Linked DNA regions of Xenopus tropicalis. Each later gene encodes a partner of the first gene's protein in a complex. Links are inferred from orthologs where the notes say so. Each region holds a gene or a part of one and is shown in the gene's direction. Other genes may lie near its edges. The genes, in order: slc3a2, slc7a10, slc7a11 and slc7a8.

Region 1 (4,060 bases):
ATTACATATTTATTTATACATTGCAAGCAGTGTGGCTATTCACTCAACTGCACATTCTCGGCCGGTGCAAAGAAAGAAGAGGATCGCTCTCCTGCATATACCCCAGGCTTGTACTGTTCTTTGCTAACAGTAACACCAGCTTGGTGAATCAGGAAAGTGAATGCAATCACTGGGGGGTGCCTTAACATTTTGAACTGCATCCCAATTAGGGTTGCCACCTGTCCAGTTTTGTCCAGGACAGCCCAGGTTTCAGAAGGGCTGCCCAGGTCAAAACCTCACGCTCGGTTTCCCAAATTAAGAAAACTGGGCAGGACTCAGAAACATTGTCGCCGCACCATAGCCCCACCCCCATGACATCACAGCCCCTCCCAGCCCCACAACATCATGGTCCCACCCCCTTGCCTGGTTAAGAAAGCCTTCAGAAGTGGCAACCCTAATCCCAATGCAAGCTGTAAAACTGTTAGTGAATCCAGCAGCATATTCACGTTCACTTTTCCATTCGACATTAGGCATAATATAATAAAAATCTCTACATTTTGTGTGTAATGTAATAAACTAGTAACCCAGAGTAATATCAGCGAGTAGAATAAAGCGGTCAGCTATGAAAAAACATCTGATTGGTTGCTATTGGTTACTAGATGTAGGCAAATGTAAGACTATTTTACATTTTACATTTACAAACCCATTTATGTTTTGTTCTCCATGTAAAGGTACCCATACACCATAAGATCCGCTCGCTTGGCGATGATATCGGGAGAATCTAGGCTAATTCGCCCTGGGGCCAAACGATCGAATTATAATGACGGGCATAAGCAAAGTCGGTCCGGGGACCGCATCAACTTGCCAATGCGGTCCCCGATCCAACTAGAATTTTAAACCTGCCCGATCCTGATCTGGCTGATTTCAGGCGGCGGCAGTGCCCATACATGGGCCGATTAGCTGCTGAATCAGTCTAAGGGACCTTTATTGGTAGCTAGAATCGGCCCATGTATGGGGACCTTAAGCCTGAAAAAGAGGAAGATAACATTTCTAGTAAATAGTACAAAACAGAGGATATCAGTATTGTATTAAACTGTGTTTCAGCACTTTATTGTACATCATTACATATGTATTTATACATTTCAAGCAGATAGCAGCAAACCATTAACATAACAGAATGAGCAGGAATTATTAGCAGCAATAAGGTTGAGACCAACTGTCTATTTAGAATGTAACAGCTAGAGTTGCCTAGTACATATAAAGGGGCAGTAAATCCTTTGCAGAGCTGCCAGGGAATCTTACCAGACTGCTCATTGCTTCCCCAGCGCTTCCCTTCTCTTTTAGTCCTCTGTCAGCCTGAGGCGCTCAGTATCATGCAGCAGAGCTGAGGTGCCGACAGGTTTGGGCAGGGGAATGCCAGGCGGACATTTTAGGTTGGTTATCCGGAGCCATTTTGTGAGGAAGGAAAATGCCAGCCCAAAGCGTAAACCAGAGACAAAAGAAAAGCATCATGGGCAAGGTAAAATGGGAGGAGGAAGCAGGAAGAACTTACGAGTTATGAATGGCTGGGGCGGGGAAACACCGCATGGCAGGGGCAAAAAAGAGTGTCTGTACGTATGTATGTGTGGGTGGGATTGGCAATGAACAGCAAAACACTGACCATGCGTGGATTTCCGCCGACGCGTTCCCCCCCCTACTTCCTTAATTGTATGTTTCCTGCTTCTTACAATTTCCACCTAAAATTACATTCTGAGTACAAGTGTGTTCTTGCACAGTCAGTGAGCTTTCAGTGTGTGGAGCTTGTGAGGCGAGAAGCAGGGACACAGTCATGCTGTGCAGCTTGATGAGGGAAAGAGGGGCTCCCAGGGTGCAGATGATGGGGGAAAGAGGGGTGCCAGGGTGCAGATGATGGGGGAAAGAGGGGTGCCAGGGTGCAGATGATGAGGGAAAGAGGGGCTCCCAGGGTGCAGCTTGGTCGGAGTGGGTTGGTGCAGGAAGGTCAGCTCTGGAGCCGGCTTCAAAGGCAAGAGGAGGGCTTGGGTGGTGGGGGATGGGGGTGTGGAGCTATGCTGAACAAATCTCTCTGCTCTGCATGTTACTGAGTGTATCTAAGAGAGACCGGAGGGGAAGGGTTGGGGCTGGGAAGCAGTAAGCACAAGTATAATTGCTCTAATAAGAGCCCATGCCAGCTCTGCAAATCCTGGAAGTGCAACTTTATAAAGAATCTGTCTCGTCCCACATCAACATTTCCATTTTTGTTGTTTTTTTTTTTTTTTCATGTGATGGTATACCCTGACCTAATAATGTCACTTAAAATGCAGCCTCCATTTACAGCCAAACCTCGGATGTTACCATGGTAACTTACTGCCAGCCGTACCTCTGATGTTACCATGGTAACATGCTGCAGTGTGGCTCAGGCAACCCCACTCTCTGGAGCTTGTTATTATGGTGACAGCACTGTGGCTTATTAATGTGCCACCTTGTGACTTATTGTATTGTTTTGCTGAAGCAAAACAAGAATTTTCTCCCATTTAAACCCATTTTTTTTCTAATTACAACAATAGGCAAAAATTATATTCAGCACAAGGCCTCTTCTTTGAACTTAAGTTGAACAAGGGTTATACTTAGGGGCTGATTTACTAAGACACGATTTCGAATCCGAATTGGAAAAATTCCGATTGGAAACAAACATTTTGCGACTTTTTAGTATTTTTTGCGATTTTTACGGCGTCTTTACGATTTTTGCGTAAAAACGCGAGTTTTTCGGCGTCTTTACGATTTTTGCGTAAAAACGCGAGTTTTTCGTAGCCATTACGAAAGTTGCACAAAGTCGCGATTTTTTCGTAGCGTTAACACTTGCGCGCAAAGTCGCGCCTTTTTCGTAGCGTTAAAACTTAAAAGGCGCGACGTTTCGCGCAACTTTCGTAATGGCTACGAAAAACTCGCGTTTTTACGCAAAAATCGTAAAGACGCCGAAAAACTCGCGTTTTTACGCAAAAATCGTAAAGACGCCCAAAAAATACGAAAAAGTCGTAAAAACGCCGAAAAAAATCGCAAAATTACCGATCATTACGAAAAAAACGCAATCGGACACATTCGGCCCGTTCGTGGGTTAGTAAATGTGCCCCTTAGGGTTGCAGCCTGGGTGGTATTTTACTGGCCCAGCAGTAAAAATTATGCTCGATGCCAATGTTATTTATAGGGAAAAAAGACAAAAATAAAGGAAAAATGGAAACCCTCTACTGCCCCTGTAAATGCACCTTCTTGAACTAGAAATTCCTGCACATTTTTCGCAATTTATCTGGATCACCGCGTGTAAAGTGGCTCACATGCAGTGTTTCATATTTTAGTGAAAGGAGAGGCGTTTTCAGGAGATTTGTTGCCTGCCAGTAGCACTGAGAATTGTTTTTTTTAACCTACATTGTGCTAGCGTCCTTCCTCTCCTCTAAAATGAATTCCAGGATGTTATTAAAAAGTGTGCACAGCCGCAACAGACGTCAATGTCAGGAACTGAAAAACAGAGCTGTAAAAGCATTCTGAACATTTCCACACCTAGCTTTCTTCCTTCTCCCCCTTCCCCTCTGTTTTCCAGTACATGGAGCTCTGTTCCCTATTTCTTAGAAGAATCAGAACCGCTCTCTCCCTCCTCCCCTAGAGCTGGGAACAGATAGCCCTTGTGCACATACCAAAGCTTCAAAGCTCTGACTGGGGCTGCACTGTAGTACAACAACAGCTGGAGGTTGGTCTGTAATGTCTCCATTAATTATTCTTTGGCTTAAAAAACTGCATAGACAGGTCAGAGGGTTTGAGTTAAGGTGGCCATACACGCACCGATATTATCGTACGAAACCTCGTTTCGTACGATAATCGGTGCGTGTATGGTATGTCAGCGAGCCGACCGATGTCGCAGGAAGCTGCTGAAATCGGTCGGCTCGTCGATCGGCCAGGTTAGAAAATTTTGATCGGGCGCCATAGAAGGCGCCTGACCAAAATTCTCCCTTCAGAGCTGAATCGGCAGAAGGAGGTAGAAATCCTATTGTTTCTACCTCCTTACCTGCCGATTCAGCCCTGAATGGTGTGT
Region 2 (3,562 bases), about 32 Mb from region 1:
CCTATATCAAAACTAGAAACTACTAGAGCCAACTGGTGTAAAAATACAGTTATACCAGGTAAACTGCTTGGACTACTCAGCCTTGGGTCATCACCTTCCATTCTGATTTTACACAAAGGTGAAGGGATTGGACATTTTGCATTTCAATGACAATTTCTGTCCCACCCCTGATGTGTGTTTGGTATTAACCCACAGGAAACTACGAAGAGCTAAAGCCAAGCAACGCATTTAATTTCTGGATGATTCCAACAGTGGGGCAGCTGGCACTTGCTTTTTTACAAGCATCTTTTGCATTCAGCGGTTGGAACTTTCTTAATTATGTCACAGAAGAGATGGTTGATCCTAGAAGGCAAGTAGTGTCTGTTTGTTGTATTTTTTGGAATACAATTAAAATATGCGTATCCTAATACTGTGCCGCATTATCAGGTAATCACGTTACATATAAAGAGAGAGGTCAGTGACATACATGATTAGTTTGGCAAGGTCACCAAATGAGCAGATCTAAATCATGATTGGCCCACATACTGGGCCAAATTGGGCTGATGTGATCTTTGGCCTTGAAATCAACCACTGGGACCTATGGAAACCATTTGGATAAGAACCATTGGTGTTCCAAATACACAGGCAGATAACCTGCTTACTTGGTCTGAATGTGTTGACCTTACCCTTGCAGTAAATAACTGAAATCCTACAATTTTTCTTTGTTTCCCCCAACCCTCCCAGTTCTGAAAGGAACTGCTAACAGATAACCAAGTGCTATACATTGACCAACTGCTAGAATCTCCTTCATATGTTATCACATAATAGCTTCTTGGCATGTTACTGTATTAGTGGTTCTCCCAGAATAACACAACAGGTAAAAAGTCCACATCATGTAGACCCGTTGACTAGATAGGGGCCATAGTGGACCACTCTGTAATACACCAATTCTATTAGGATTTAATCTCCAGACTTTGGAAATATATCATAGTTATGAGTTAAATCCCTCTATTTAAGAATACAGAATGTCAAGTAGAATTAAAATAATTTAGGGATGCACTGAGTCCAGGAAGTGCCTGGCCAAACCAAATCTGAATCCTTAAAATCACATGACTTTTCATCACATAAACATGACCAGTTTTCTTTAGGATTCAGATTTGGTTCAGGATTTGGGCAAATCTTTCACGAAGGATTCAGGACTCACCAAAATAGTGGATTTGGGGCATCCCTAAAATAAATGGCACATTAAAACAAAATTATGAGCTGGTAACATTTATGTTGGCAGAGGAGAGGTTTCACACTTGAAGTAGAAATAATTACAAATGTATATATATATACAGGGTTGGACTGGGGGATGCAGGGCCCACCAGGGCCCCCCACCCTCAAGGGGCCCCCTGCTGCAGCCACAACACACTCGAAGGGGCCACCCGCCCAACCCCAGTGGAGGGCAGTGGGGATCTGGTCTGGGCCGGCCCAGTCTAACCCTGTATATACATCATGATAGTAGATCTGTAATGTTTGGCAATAAGCCATTAAAGTGCTTTATTCATTTTGCACTAATACTGAGCTTCTTTTTACTAGGAACCTACCTCGTGCCATATTCTTATCCATCCCTTTGGTGACATTTGTATACACTTTCACCAACATCGCATACTTTACTGCTATGTCACCTCAAGAACTCATGTCTTCAAATGCCGTTGCAGTTGTAAGTAGAAAGGCTGTGCCCGTATCTCAGACAAACTGTGCTGTGCCTCCTACCTCTATATTTCAGCATCTTTACCTTCTGTTGGTTTAGACATTTGGTGAAAAGCTACTGGGTTATTTTTCCTGGATCATGCCAGTCTCAGTGGCGCTGTCCACTTTCGGAGGGATAAATGGATACCTCTTTACCTCATCAAGGTTTGAGGAAGTATGATCTAACACTGTAGTTTTAGCAGCTAACACCATCAATCTGATAATATTCTCAAATCTTTGATCAAGCTTTACAGTAGTTTTAAAAATAGAGAGTATCCAAAAGATTTAGCATTTAACATATTTGACTACTGATTACTTTCGCTCATTAAATATGCCTTAAGATTGACTTTCATCATTATTATTGACTTACATAAAATTGTTAACATTTGTTCTTTGCTACTTGTGTTTACAACACATATAATACATTTACACATTTAATATGTAGAGTATGCTTTCTTTTTCTGTGTAGTTTCCTAGAGTGTATCTATAAAGATACTTAAAATATTTTGAGACTAAGCTGTGTTTTTGTGATTGATATATCAGCTGACTTGTCCCCTAAAGCAGTAGCATTTTTATTTTGCCTCTTGTTTTGTTGTACTGTAGGAGTCAATTTTGTGAAGGGCAGGGTGCAAAGTGCAAAAACATTGTGCAATCCACCATATAGGAGAATTGGTGCAGGTCTCTTTGCTCCAAATCAGAGTGCAGAGACCTGTGTTCACCCTACTTATTCAGGTCAAATCTCTGATTTTTACAACATATTCTACTTTTAAAAACCCTTGACTCTTAAAAGTCTTACTTTATTTTTTCTCATGTCCACTAATAATTTTGACTTCCTTTTAATGAAGATAACCCATGACTGGATCCCCCTTTTTCCTTCCATGAATTCAGGCAGAAATAATCTGAAACATACCTGTGCTGGTATTTACAGAGAATTCACATTAAGATTGATAAAGGTAAAAGTTAGGAAATTGGGGACATTTAATACCCTTTTTGTAGTATGCACAGTGCTACAAATCACCAGGGCAGCCATCAGAGAGGAGAGGGGGTACTGTCAGGCCCAGTACAGTAATCTTCGTACAAATGTCACATTGCAAAAGTTATACTAATACACAAGCTTTGCATAAAGTGACACCAAAACTTATGTAATGTATGTAACGTCCACAAAAACTGGCTATAAACTTATGTAACTTGTTTATCAAGCAATGTGTCAATGACAATGCAGAAAAGCTTGTCAGGGGCAGGTAGGGGCAAACTCCACTGACCACCAATGAAATGAAAAACTTAAGGTAAATTCCACTGACTTATTTGAACATTAATATTCATTTTAACTATGTACTGTATATGAACTACTTATTACAAGTATGGGACCTTTTATCCAGAATGCTTGGTACCTGGAGTTTTCCGGATAAGGGATCTTTCTGTAATTTGTATACAATACATTATCTACTAAAAAATAATTTTAACATTAATTAAACCCAATAGGTTTTTAATTCTTCCAATAAGTATCAATTTTATCTTAATTAAAATCAAGTACAGGTATGGGACCTGTTATCCAGAATGCTTGGGACCTGGGGTTTCCCAGATAAGGGATCTTTCCATAATTTGGATCTCCATAACTCAAGTCTGCTAAAAATCATTTGAATAAACCAAATAGGCTTGTTTTGCTTCCAATAAGGATTAATTATATCTTAGTTGGGATCAAGAACAATGTACTGTTTTTAATTACAAAGAAAAAGGAAATCATTTGTAAATATTAGAATTATTTTATTAAAATGCAGTCTATGGGAGATGACCTTTCCGTAATTCAGAACTTTCTAGATAATGGGTTTCCAGATAAGAGATCCCATAC
Region 3 (4,081 bases), on another chromosome or scaffold:
CTTGCAGATGACTGAGAAAAAATAATTATTGGTTGGTTCCTATGGGTTACTGCCCAGATGTAAATTTGCCCAGTGTTAATAAATGAGTCCCTGTGTTACTGCAGTATAAAGACAGACATGACAATCCATGATGTCCATGATGTTGATGTAATATTGTTTGATTGGTGCCCCTGCTTATGTGCAGCACACACTTTGTGATGGTCAGTCACCTCCTTGGGTCCCGTGACAAATTTTTGCAACCATTTTGCAGAAAAATCTGCCAAAATTCGCTGCAAATCCATGCCTGGCAAAAAGTGTCACTCATCACTACCCACCTTAGCACAGTGCAGCTGGGTGTCTGACATGGCAGGTGCGCTTAAAAAAACTCAAATTCCAGTTATGGTTCAAAAACTTGTATGTCTGATATTTATTAAGTGCAAACAACCCAAAAACTCGAATGTAAAAATGTGCCATCTAAAAGCTTGTGAGTTTCTATAGAAGTTAATGGGAGCTGTCCTAGGCAAAGTCAAGTTGTATGTTCGATTCGAGTTTGTTTCGAGTTTGAACCTCAAGTTTTTTTCTTATTTACGTAAGTTTACCACATAAATAAATAAACGAACATTTCATATGATATGCAATTTTAATCAATTTAGAAAAACAAATTTAAAAATTGATTAATAATTGATAAATAAGCCCATAGGTTCTGTGGGACCACAGTAAATTGACCATTGAAGCCAAAGGATTGCTGCTTGCGCATGCACACATTATGCTCAAAATGTTGTTGGCGAATGCTGAGTGCGCTTTCCCACCTGGAATTTAAAGAAAACTTCAGGAGATGGAGGTAAAATTGGGAGAATGCTATCAATGGACAGGGGGGCTGGGGGAGAGAAGGCCAAATTGGGTAACTCCCAGAAAAATATTGGAATTGACAGCTCTGTGTGTTCTTTCGTGGGGCAAACAGGGAAATGGTAAGTGGCAGTGGGTCTGATGACCACGTTCCTTGACACTGCCCTGGTCATGGCTCTATTAAATGTTTAAATGATTTTTGGTAGACAAAGTATGGTGATCCAAATTATGGAAAGATTCTTTATATGGAAAACCTTAGGTCCCGAGGATTCTTCATAACAGGTCCCATACCTGTATTTAGAAAACTTTGCACTTTCCCAGGCAACATTTAATCAGTTCAGCTGCCAAAGATTAAATATCCTTTGTTCCCCAAGCATTCTGCAAGTCACAATGATCTGCTTAAAACAACAGGAGTTCCTGTCACTCCTACAGATTTGTATAAGCAGATCAGGCTTTGCCTTGTGCAACATGCTGTTTGTGGAAGTGCTGAGTAATACAAAAGTTTTCATGTGGCTGATGCAAACCTGTGAGATTTGCATCATCATTAAGCAGCAATAACCCGGCATGACAGGAGCATAATGAAGTAGAAGTGGTCAGAGTCATACGGAAGTTAGGCTGGTCTGTCCCAGTACATAAGGGGAGCACTGGGAAACAACAGGTGCTGCTGAGAAGTAACAGAGAGACCGCTCCTGGAATTGTTCATTGGAAAGTTTGAGCAGTTCTCGCAGCTCACGCCTGTCACAAACCACCTGCACGGCACTTTTTCTGTTGGCAAGGATCCCTGCTACTGTTCAGCTCATCATGTATAGGCAAGCAGCTGATGATGTGTACTCTGTCACCAAAGGAAAGGACTCACGCCGTATGTTGCCCTCAGCTGACAAAAAGATGTCTGAGAAAGGAGAAAAAGTGGTGCTGAAAAAGAAAGTAACTCTGTTGAGAGGGATTTCTATAATCATTGGAACTATTATTGGAGCTGGGATTTTTATTTCTCCCAAAGGAATTCTCCAAAATACAGGGAGTGTAGGAATGTCGCTGGTTGTATGGACAGCCTGTGGCATTCTCTCATTATTTGGTGAGTGAGCAGCTTGCATTTGTACAGTTTGCTATTTATTGATGATTTTAGCCCAGATGTGCGATGTGGGAATCTAGCCGGTTTTATTAAAGGGGTTGTTCACCTTTAAATTAACGTTTAGGATGATGTAGAGTGCTACTCTAAGACGCTAAGCTAGTGGTCTTCATTTATTATTATTTGTGGGTTTTGAATAATTTAGCTTTTTGTTCAGCAGCTCTAAAGATTAAAATTTTAGCAGCTATCTGTTTTCTGGGGTCCATTTTAACCTAGCAACTAGGCAGTGGTGTGAGTGAGAGGCTGGAATATGAATAGATTCTAACATGGAAACATAAGTAATAAAAAGTAACAATATCAATAGGGTTGTAGCCTCACAGAGCAATAGATTTTTTGGCTGCGGTCAGTGACCTTAATTTTAAAACTGGAAAGAGGCAAATAATTCAAAACCTATAAAAAATAAACACCAATTAAAAGGTTGCTTACAATAGGCCATTGTATAACATGCTAAAAGTTAACCTGAAGGTGAACCACCCATTTAAGGTGACTCAGCACAAATGGCAGTTAGGCAAGAAAAGGTCTGCTAATTGCTCTGCCAACAGTAAAATGTAAATGAAAGGTTTTTGTGAAAAGGGAAATGTATAGAATGTTTCTTTATCTAGATTTATATTTTTATTGCATGCATTTATTTTTAATTACAGAATGCAGTTTTAAGGGAAACTTATGTTTCAAATAAACCTTAGACCTTATTCATTTCATTTTTTTCCCATTACTAGTTGCACTCTGCAACTTAAGTTAGAGACCCCCATTTCATTATTCATTTACCCCTGTTTTTGTAACACAATCCTTCTTTCTCCAATCTTTTTCATGCAGGGCTATATTTGCCCATTGAATTCAAGAATGATGAGCTTCAAAAGTTTATAGTGGTATGAGATTTACTATGTGGAGATCTGATGTCCAAAAAACCTTTTGTGATTTTATATTCATGTATTTTTAGTAGCCTTATGACATGGTGCTCCACTTTACCCAAGTATTCTGGATAATAGATATATATATAATTTAGAAACTCCCACAATTAAAAAATAAAGAACAACTGCAAACTTTCTTTAAACACCAATGTCATGTATTAATTAAACGGGAACTATTCCCACAGGCATTGTTGACTGAAAGTATCAGGACATAGTCCCCCCGCCTACACCTAAATCTCATCTGTGTACCTATGCCAGCATCTGGCGTTGCTCCTTAACAGGCACTTTTTATGTAGTGTACTACCAAAGCCCAAATATTGCCCTGTCTGCCCAAAGGCAGAAGGGTCACAGGGAACCTTGCTTACCATGCATTCCTGCAATAAAATAAAAAGGACATTTGGGTCTGTTCCAGCTGGCAATATTTACTGTTTAATGTGCCAACATATGACCATAGATTCAACCCTACTGGATTTAAAATGAACAATTTTTCTTTCATTTATTGGCTATGTATTAGATGTTCTTTTTTTATGGTCATGGAAGTTCAGTAACCACTGTACCAGCAGATGGGTGGATTTACAAATCTATTACACAACTTCAGCTGTTTGTCATGACGTTGATGGGTAAGGGTGTGTACTGCAATACCTAAGCCTCATCAGTGTGCTGGGTATTTGCATTCTGGTTAGGATATATGACTCATTTGGTTTACAGATGAAACATCATTTTAGTTTGGTGTGCTATCGCATACTATCTGGTTACAAATATATGGTTTATTTTAATCAAAACTCACCCTTACTATTAAGGTGGGAATGAAACCTCTACTTACGTTCTGTTAGTAACTGGGATCTAATAATTGTAGTGTAAGTGACAGGTTGGTGCAGCCTTAAGCACAAAATTTATGTACATGACAGGAGTGGTTTATTGCTTCTAAACATGCACAACAAGAATTAGCGGGGGTATAGTGGTGCAAGAGAGGAAAGCCTATAAAAACACAGGCGTTCTTGTACGTACAGTATAAGGACATATTAGGAATGCCTTTGACTGGGTGTGGAATTTGCCTTAGAGGGATATTATCTTACCTGTTTGGAACTCCCTAAATCACTAAAGATTTATGCAACTTTTCTCATTGTGTAAGACTTACTGCATGTCACACAGGTAGAATTGAAGATGGCTAGAAATGGAAATAATTATTTGTAAAAGAACAGTTTGTTAGCTCATTCATATA
Region 4 (4,323 bases), on another chromosome or scaffold:
ATGCCCACTGCACTTGCTGACATAAATAAGCCCTGATTTGTATGGCCACTTTAGAGGTGCCCAATAAGCTGAATCTTTTAACCTGCCTGATTGATATCTGGGCAATTTCAAGCCAGATATTGTTTGGTTATGGCTGATGTTTCTGCCCCTACACGGGCCCATAAGCTGCCGAATCGGTCCAAGTGACCGATATTGGCAGCTACAATCAGCCCGTGTATGGGGACCTTTAGTCTTGGAACAAGTCAGTAGACACAGTGGCCGACTTGGAAAGGCTGGAAACAGAATACAGGAAGGCAGGAGAGATACTGAACAGATCAGGAAACTGGAACAAGTAGCTTGATTACCTATGGAATTGCCAGAATCAGGGGAGGACATTGGCGGCCAGGGGAAGCAGCAACAGGGATCAGGTTTGGGCTGCCGGGGCCCGCCAGGGCTGGGGCCCACCGGGTTTTTTCCCGGCCAAGTCTGACCCTGCTGATCATTTACAGATAATTGTCTCTATGTGTGTTTTAGCAGAGGCAATTCTCAGTACTGTCTATGGCAGGGTATTTTCTGGCCACAACAATTGCTGCTACTAAGTAGCTTCATGTGTCTTCACCCTACAATGCAAGAGCTGCAACATACCTAGCAGCCATGAATGCCTTTGTGCCTAGTGACAAAGCAGCAGATGTCAGCCTTGCTGTGGACACAGCATCGTGACAACTAGCAATGGAGCTGTCTCTTTAGGGCTGTGAAAGACAGGGAGATTAGTCACCACGCGTCAAATCTCCCTTGTCGCGGGTGACTAATCTGCCCGAAATGCCATCCCACCGGCTAGAATGTAAATCGCCGGTGGGATGGCATACGCGGTATCAAAATCACCGAAGTTTCCTCTCAAGGCAACTATGCCGATTTCGGCAAATCGCAGTGCGGCATATGCCATCCCACCGGTGATTTACATGCTAGCCTGTGGGATGGCATTTCGGGCAGATTAGTCGCCCGCGACAAGGGAGATTTGCCGCGTGGCGATAACTCACAGCCCTTAAGTTAGAAGCGTTATGTTCTGACGCCAGAACGGGATATAACCTTGATTGTAAGAAAAACATTTACAAGGATGTGTATTGTAATATAGATTAAAGTAACATTATAATTATTATTTACTTTTATATATTAGAGCAGCAACTTTTTCGGGACAGTCATACAGACTGTTCCTTAGGGGCATTTTACTAATACTGCAGATAGACATTACTGTGACACATCAGTCTGTACCAACTCAGTGGAGCAAGAAGAAAAACACACTGTAATTACTGGGAGTGATGTAATTTGTGCTTAATAATACGCAAAATGGGAAACAATAAAGGATTCCCTACACAAGGAAGTAGAACACAGCAATGTCCCCCCTTCTGCGTGTTTATCTGCAAGAGAAACCCTGTGGGTAGGAACACACTGTACGGCCAGAGGGAGGAGCTGAGCGGCAGCGATATAAAGGCTTCGACTGAGCGTTTTGAACAGAGGAAGGAGACTGGGTGGTGGTGTGATCAGGTGCGCAGAACAGATAAACAGGCTGTGTGGGAGATAAGAAAACACACACATATAGAGGAACTGGCCATAGCACTGCCCTGACACACACACCAGCCTTTTCCTGCTGGACAAGAGATGCACTAAAGCTGCCACTAGTCACACAGGAGATGCGGAGACAATCCTGAAAGAGGACGCAGAACACCGGATCGGGTGAGAAATGGGGTCACCGGGTGTGGTACTGGGGTCGCACGTCAAGGGGCAGATTGGCTGGGTTTAGCTTGTAATTATGATACAGCAGTGTGGAAGAATCATTTATTGCTTTCTGTATTTATATTTTATATCTCATTACGTTAGACTCTCAGTAGCTCCCACTGTACATTACATGTTCTGTATTGTATATTGTTATTATTCTGTGGTATGTACATTGCTGTATTGCTCTGTATCTATTGATAAATCTATTCTTATACTATATCAGAAACTTTCCCAGAATGTCATAAAGCAGGGTTCACAAAGCAGAGATTTGACCATGCTGTTTAATCTAGGTCACCCTGATTCATGTGACATTTACTTATAAATAAAATTCATTCTAAACTAAATAATGAAGGTGACTAAGACCTTGCTCTTACTGGCACATAACAGAGGATGCTAGAAATTGCACATACATGCATCCATGTCTATGGCGGGGAATATGACCAAGATCACATTTGTGCCTTGTTATTTTAGGGTCATGGTAACCCCACAGAGACACTGTTGAGTGTAAAGCTGGCCATACACATTAAAATTTTTAAAAGATCTTTTAGTTATCATAGAACCAAGCTTATCCTGAAACGACTGTTTAAAAGTATGATTTGCCCATCAACAAAAGCTAACATTTGAAGCAATATTGTCTAGTTGAAGCTAGGAAAATGACCTGCTTGGTCCGGCAAACAGTTGGACAGTGGGCGAATTTCATTGCTAATGACGAAAACTATTAAACCTGCCCAATTTTCAGACCGATGTCGGATGAAAAATTGCTAAATGTTTGATCGTTCGGTGCCCACTAACCATATGATAATTTGACGGATTTGTCGGATCGCACTGAAATTGTTCGTTAGGGAGAGAAAAATCTTAACCTGTATGGCCAGCTTAAGTGCTGGAACACTTAATTTACTTCTGAAAGTGCTGTGAGCTCAGTACAATTTAGATTGAGGTCTTAAAAAGGGGTATGTGCCGAGTGCAGTTGTGTTGCACCTACTGCATTTGCGTCAGATTCACCAAAATTAACACAATTGTGTGCACATTTCATTGCAAATTAGACAAAACTGCACGCATTTCCATTTGACGTCATTCTCGGTGTTCCCCGTGTGAGTGACATCTGTGCTCAATTCTTTAGGTACAAACAGCACTCAATTCTGAACAGAAGGCAGGAAGAACTGAGTAGTACAACAACTATGCAGAAGTTCAATGAGCACATGTTGCCGCGAGTACCTTTAGTAAAAGTTGACTCCAGGGAAGTTGCAGGGACTGTGACTGCACTTATGTATGTGAATGAGCCCTCATGCTAAATCTAGTACTAGGCACGTTGCTGTGGATGCAAAAAAGCCATAGGCTTGCAGTAAGTACAGTCTCATTGATGCTCTGTGCATGGCATGTCTAAATGATGTGCAATCTAAGGGGTGTCCAAGGGGACAGCCATGTACTACCACCACATGAATGCAGCGCTGCTGAACCCAGACAACATTGTATTTAAGGGAGTAGTAGCTAGCAGAGACATTTTCCAAGAGAACTTTCAATGTCATTGTATTTTACATCATAGGGCATACCATGTTGTAGAATGCAGTGTACTCAAGTTTCAGTGAGTCATGATGACACAAGTGACATCACCAATTACCTAATATAAGTGATTACATCACTGTGCACCATTATTCAGTTATCTTGTGTATGATAACCAAATACTTGACTTCTCTAGCTGAGCACTGAAAACAACCTGCCATTTGGTATCTCATTATATCCCTTGGGAAACACTTTTGCCTTGTTAGTATAGTACAAGTTTGTATTGCTGTACATATCATTTATGAGTTGTACACCTTATGTAGGTTTTTTTGATTCTCAACTATATAAGACAATTTTGTGCATTGTTCCTAAACCATTTAATGTATGATGTAAGCATCCTTTGAATAAAAAATTGCTATTAAACCATGTAAGAATATAGGTGACCTTAATAGTTACAACATAAAGTTTATCCGGAAACTCTGGGTTCTGAAATTTCTGAAATATGGATAGAATGTTGATCCAAAGAAAAGCCGATTATCATTTTGGAAGTTGAGAAGGATTCTTTCCACTATTGGGCCCAGAAAAATCTGCAAACTTTGCCTTTTGGATAAACTGCAACATAATTAAATTAATAGTTAAAAATAATAAGAAAAAATTATACCAAGTCATCCAAAATATTAACCTCAGTTATAGGGCAAGGAAAATGAATGCCACTGGGGGGAGGGGGGGGGTGTCAAAATGGTTTGTATTTCATTGAAGGTTGCCAATATCTTACACCTACCCTAGTAAATTTAGCCTTCCAATTAGACTTGCAGATTTTAGGGCAGATTTTAGATGCCAATTTGAGACTTTTAGACTGATTCGGCGGCATGCTCGATGGGTGTACAAAACTGACAACTGGTCTAAAATTGGCCAGATCTCAGTTGGGCAAGTTTGATTATATGTTGGATTGGGGAACGCCTTGGCTTGTTGATGTGGTCCTTGGTCCGACAGCGCCTCTGTCCGCCTTTTTAATTCAGTCATTTTGCCCTAGAGCCAAATGATCAAATTAGCACGATATTGGGAGATCTG

Evidence for each region.
Region 2: the proteins of slc3a2 (region 1) and slc7a10 are in contact, whole or in part, in a cryo-EM structure (PDB 8WNT), measured with the Homo sapiens proteins. The link is inferred for Xenopus tropicalis from reciprocal best matches to the Homo sapiens genes SLC3A2 and SLC7A10. Residues at the interface, in NP_002385.3 of Homo sapiens: Phe161, Thr162, Gly163, Leu164, Lys166, Leu169, Leu170, Val172, Ala173, Trp178, Arg182, Leu186, Phe189, Trp190, Trp193, Met196, Leu197, Ala200, Ile203, Ile204, Ala207, Pro208, Arg209, Cys210, Arg211, Glu212, Leu213, Arg534; in NP_062823.1 of Homo sapiens: Leu147, Val150, Phe151, Asn153, Cys154, Pro157, Ala160, Val163, Leu164, Met166, Ala167, Met170, Leu171, Trp174, Ser352, Val359, Glu481, Thr484, His485, Trp486, Gln488, Glu489, Leu490, Phe492, Val493, Val494, Tyr495, Gln497.
Region 3: the proteins of slc3a2 (region 1) and slc7a11 are in contact, whole or in part, in a cryo-EM structure (PDB 7P9V), measured with the Homo sapiens proteins. The link is inferred for Xenopus tropicalis from reciprocal best matches to the Homo sapiens genes SLC3A2 and SLC7A11. Residues at the interface, in NP_002385.3 of Homo sapiens: Glu167, Leu170, Ala173, Trp178, Thr181, Arg182, Phe189, Trp190, Trp193, Met196, Leu197, Gly199, Ala200, Ile203, Ile204, Ala207, Arg209, Cys210, Glu212, Leu213, Lys299, Arg534, Gln559; in NP_055146.1 of Homo sapiens: Leu151, Phe154, Phe155, Ile156, Gln157, Cys158, Glu159, Pro161, Leu163, Ala164, Leu167, Ile168, Ala170, Val171, Thr174, Val175, Val178, Gln217, Gln219, Val360, His373, Thr487, Gln489, Ile490, Ile491, Glu493, Val494, Val495.
Region 4: the proteins of slc3a2 (region 1) and slc7a8 are in contact, whole or in part, in a cryo-EM structure (PDB 7CMI), measured with the Homo sapiens proteins. The link is inferred for Xenopus tropicalis from reciprocal best matches to the Homo sapiens genes SLC3A2 and SLC7A8. Residues at the interface, in NP_002385.3 of Homo sapiens: Thr162, Gly163, Leu164, Ser165, Lys166, Glu167, Leu170, Ala173, Gly174, Trp178, Arg182, Leu185, Phe189, Trp190, Trp193, Met196, Leu197, Gly199, Ala200, Ile203, Ile204, Ala207, Arg209, Cys210, Arg211, Leu213, Lys532, Arg534, Asp558, Gln559; in NP_036376.2 of Homo sapiens: Leu147, Leu150, Phe151, Pro152, Thr153, Cys154, Phe155, Pro157, Ser159, Gly160, Leu163, Leu164, Ala166, Ile167, Leu170, Leu171, Trp174, Gln294, Ser352, Met356, Val359, Glu481, Thr484, Leu485, Gln488, Lys489, Met490, Cys491, Val492, Val493.

What each region holds. Positions count from the first base shown.
Region 1 is NC_030680.2:36,599,497-36,603,556, forward strand, and holds the start of slc3a2 (4F2 cell-surface antigen heavy chain), read left to right. Parts: upstream 1-1,247; 5' UTR 1,248-1,498; intron 1,499-4,060. UniProt on the Homo sapiens protein: Acts as a chaperone that facilitates biogenesis and trafficking of functional transporters heterodimers to the plasma membrane.
Region 2 is NC_030680.2:68,947,643-68,951,204, forward strand, and holds part of slc7a10 (asc-type amino acid transporter 1), read left to right. Parts: intron 1-195; coding exon 196-349; intron 350-1,560; coding exon 1,561-1,684; intron 1,685-1,774; coding exon 1,775-1,878; intron 1,879-3,562. UniProt on the Homo sapiens protein: Associates with SLC3A2/4F2hc to form a functional heterodimeric complex that translocates small neutral L- and D-amino acids across the plasma membrane. Preferentially mediates exchange transport, but can also operate via facilitated diffusion.
Region 3 is NC_030677.2:61,777,166-61,781,246, forward strand, and holds the start of slc7a11 (cystine/glutamate transporter), read left to right. Parts: upstream 1-1,256; 5' UTR 1,257-1,626; coding exon 1,627-1,897; intron 1,898-4,081. UniProt on the Homo sapiens protein: Heterodimer with SLC3A2, that functions as an antiporter by mediating the exchange of extracellular anionic L-cystine and intracellular L-glutamate across the cellular plasma membrane.
Region 4 is NC_030677.2:139,584,184-139,588,506, reverse strand, and holds the start of slc7a8 (large neutral amino acids transporter small subunit 2), read left to right. Parts: upstream 1-1,501; 5' UTR 1,502-1,710; intron 1,711-4,284; exon of another isoform or gene 4,285-4,323. UniProt on the Homo sapiens protein: Associates with SLC3A2 to form a functional heterodimeric complex that translocates small and large neutral amino acids with broad specificity and a stoichiometry of 1:1.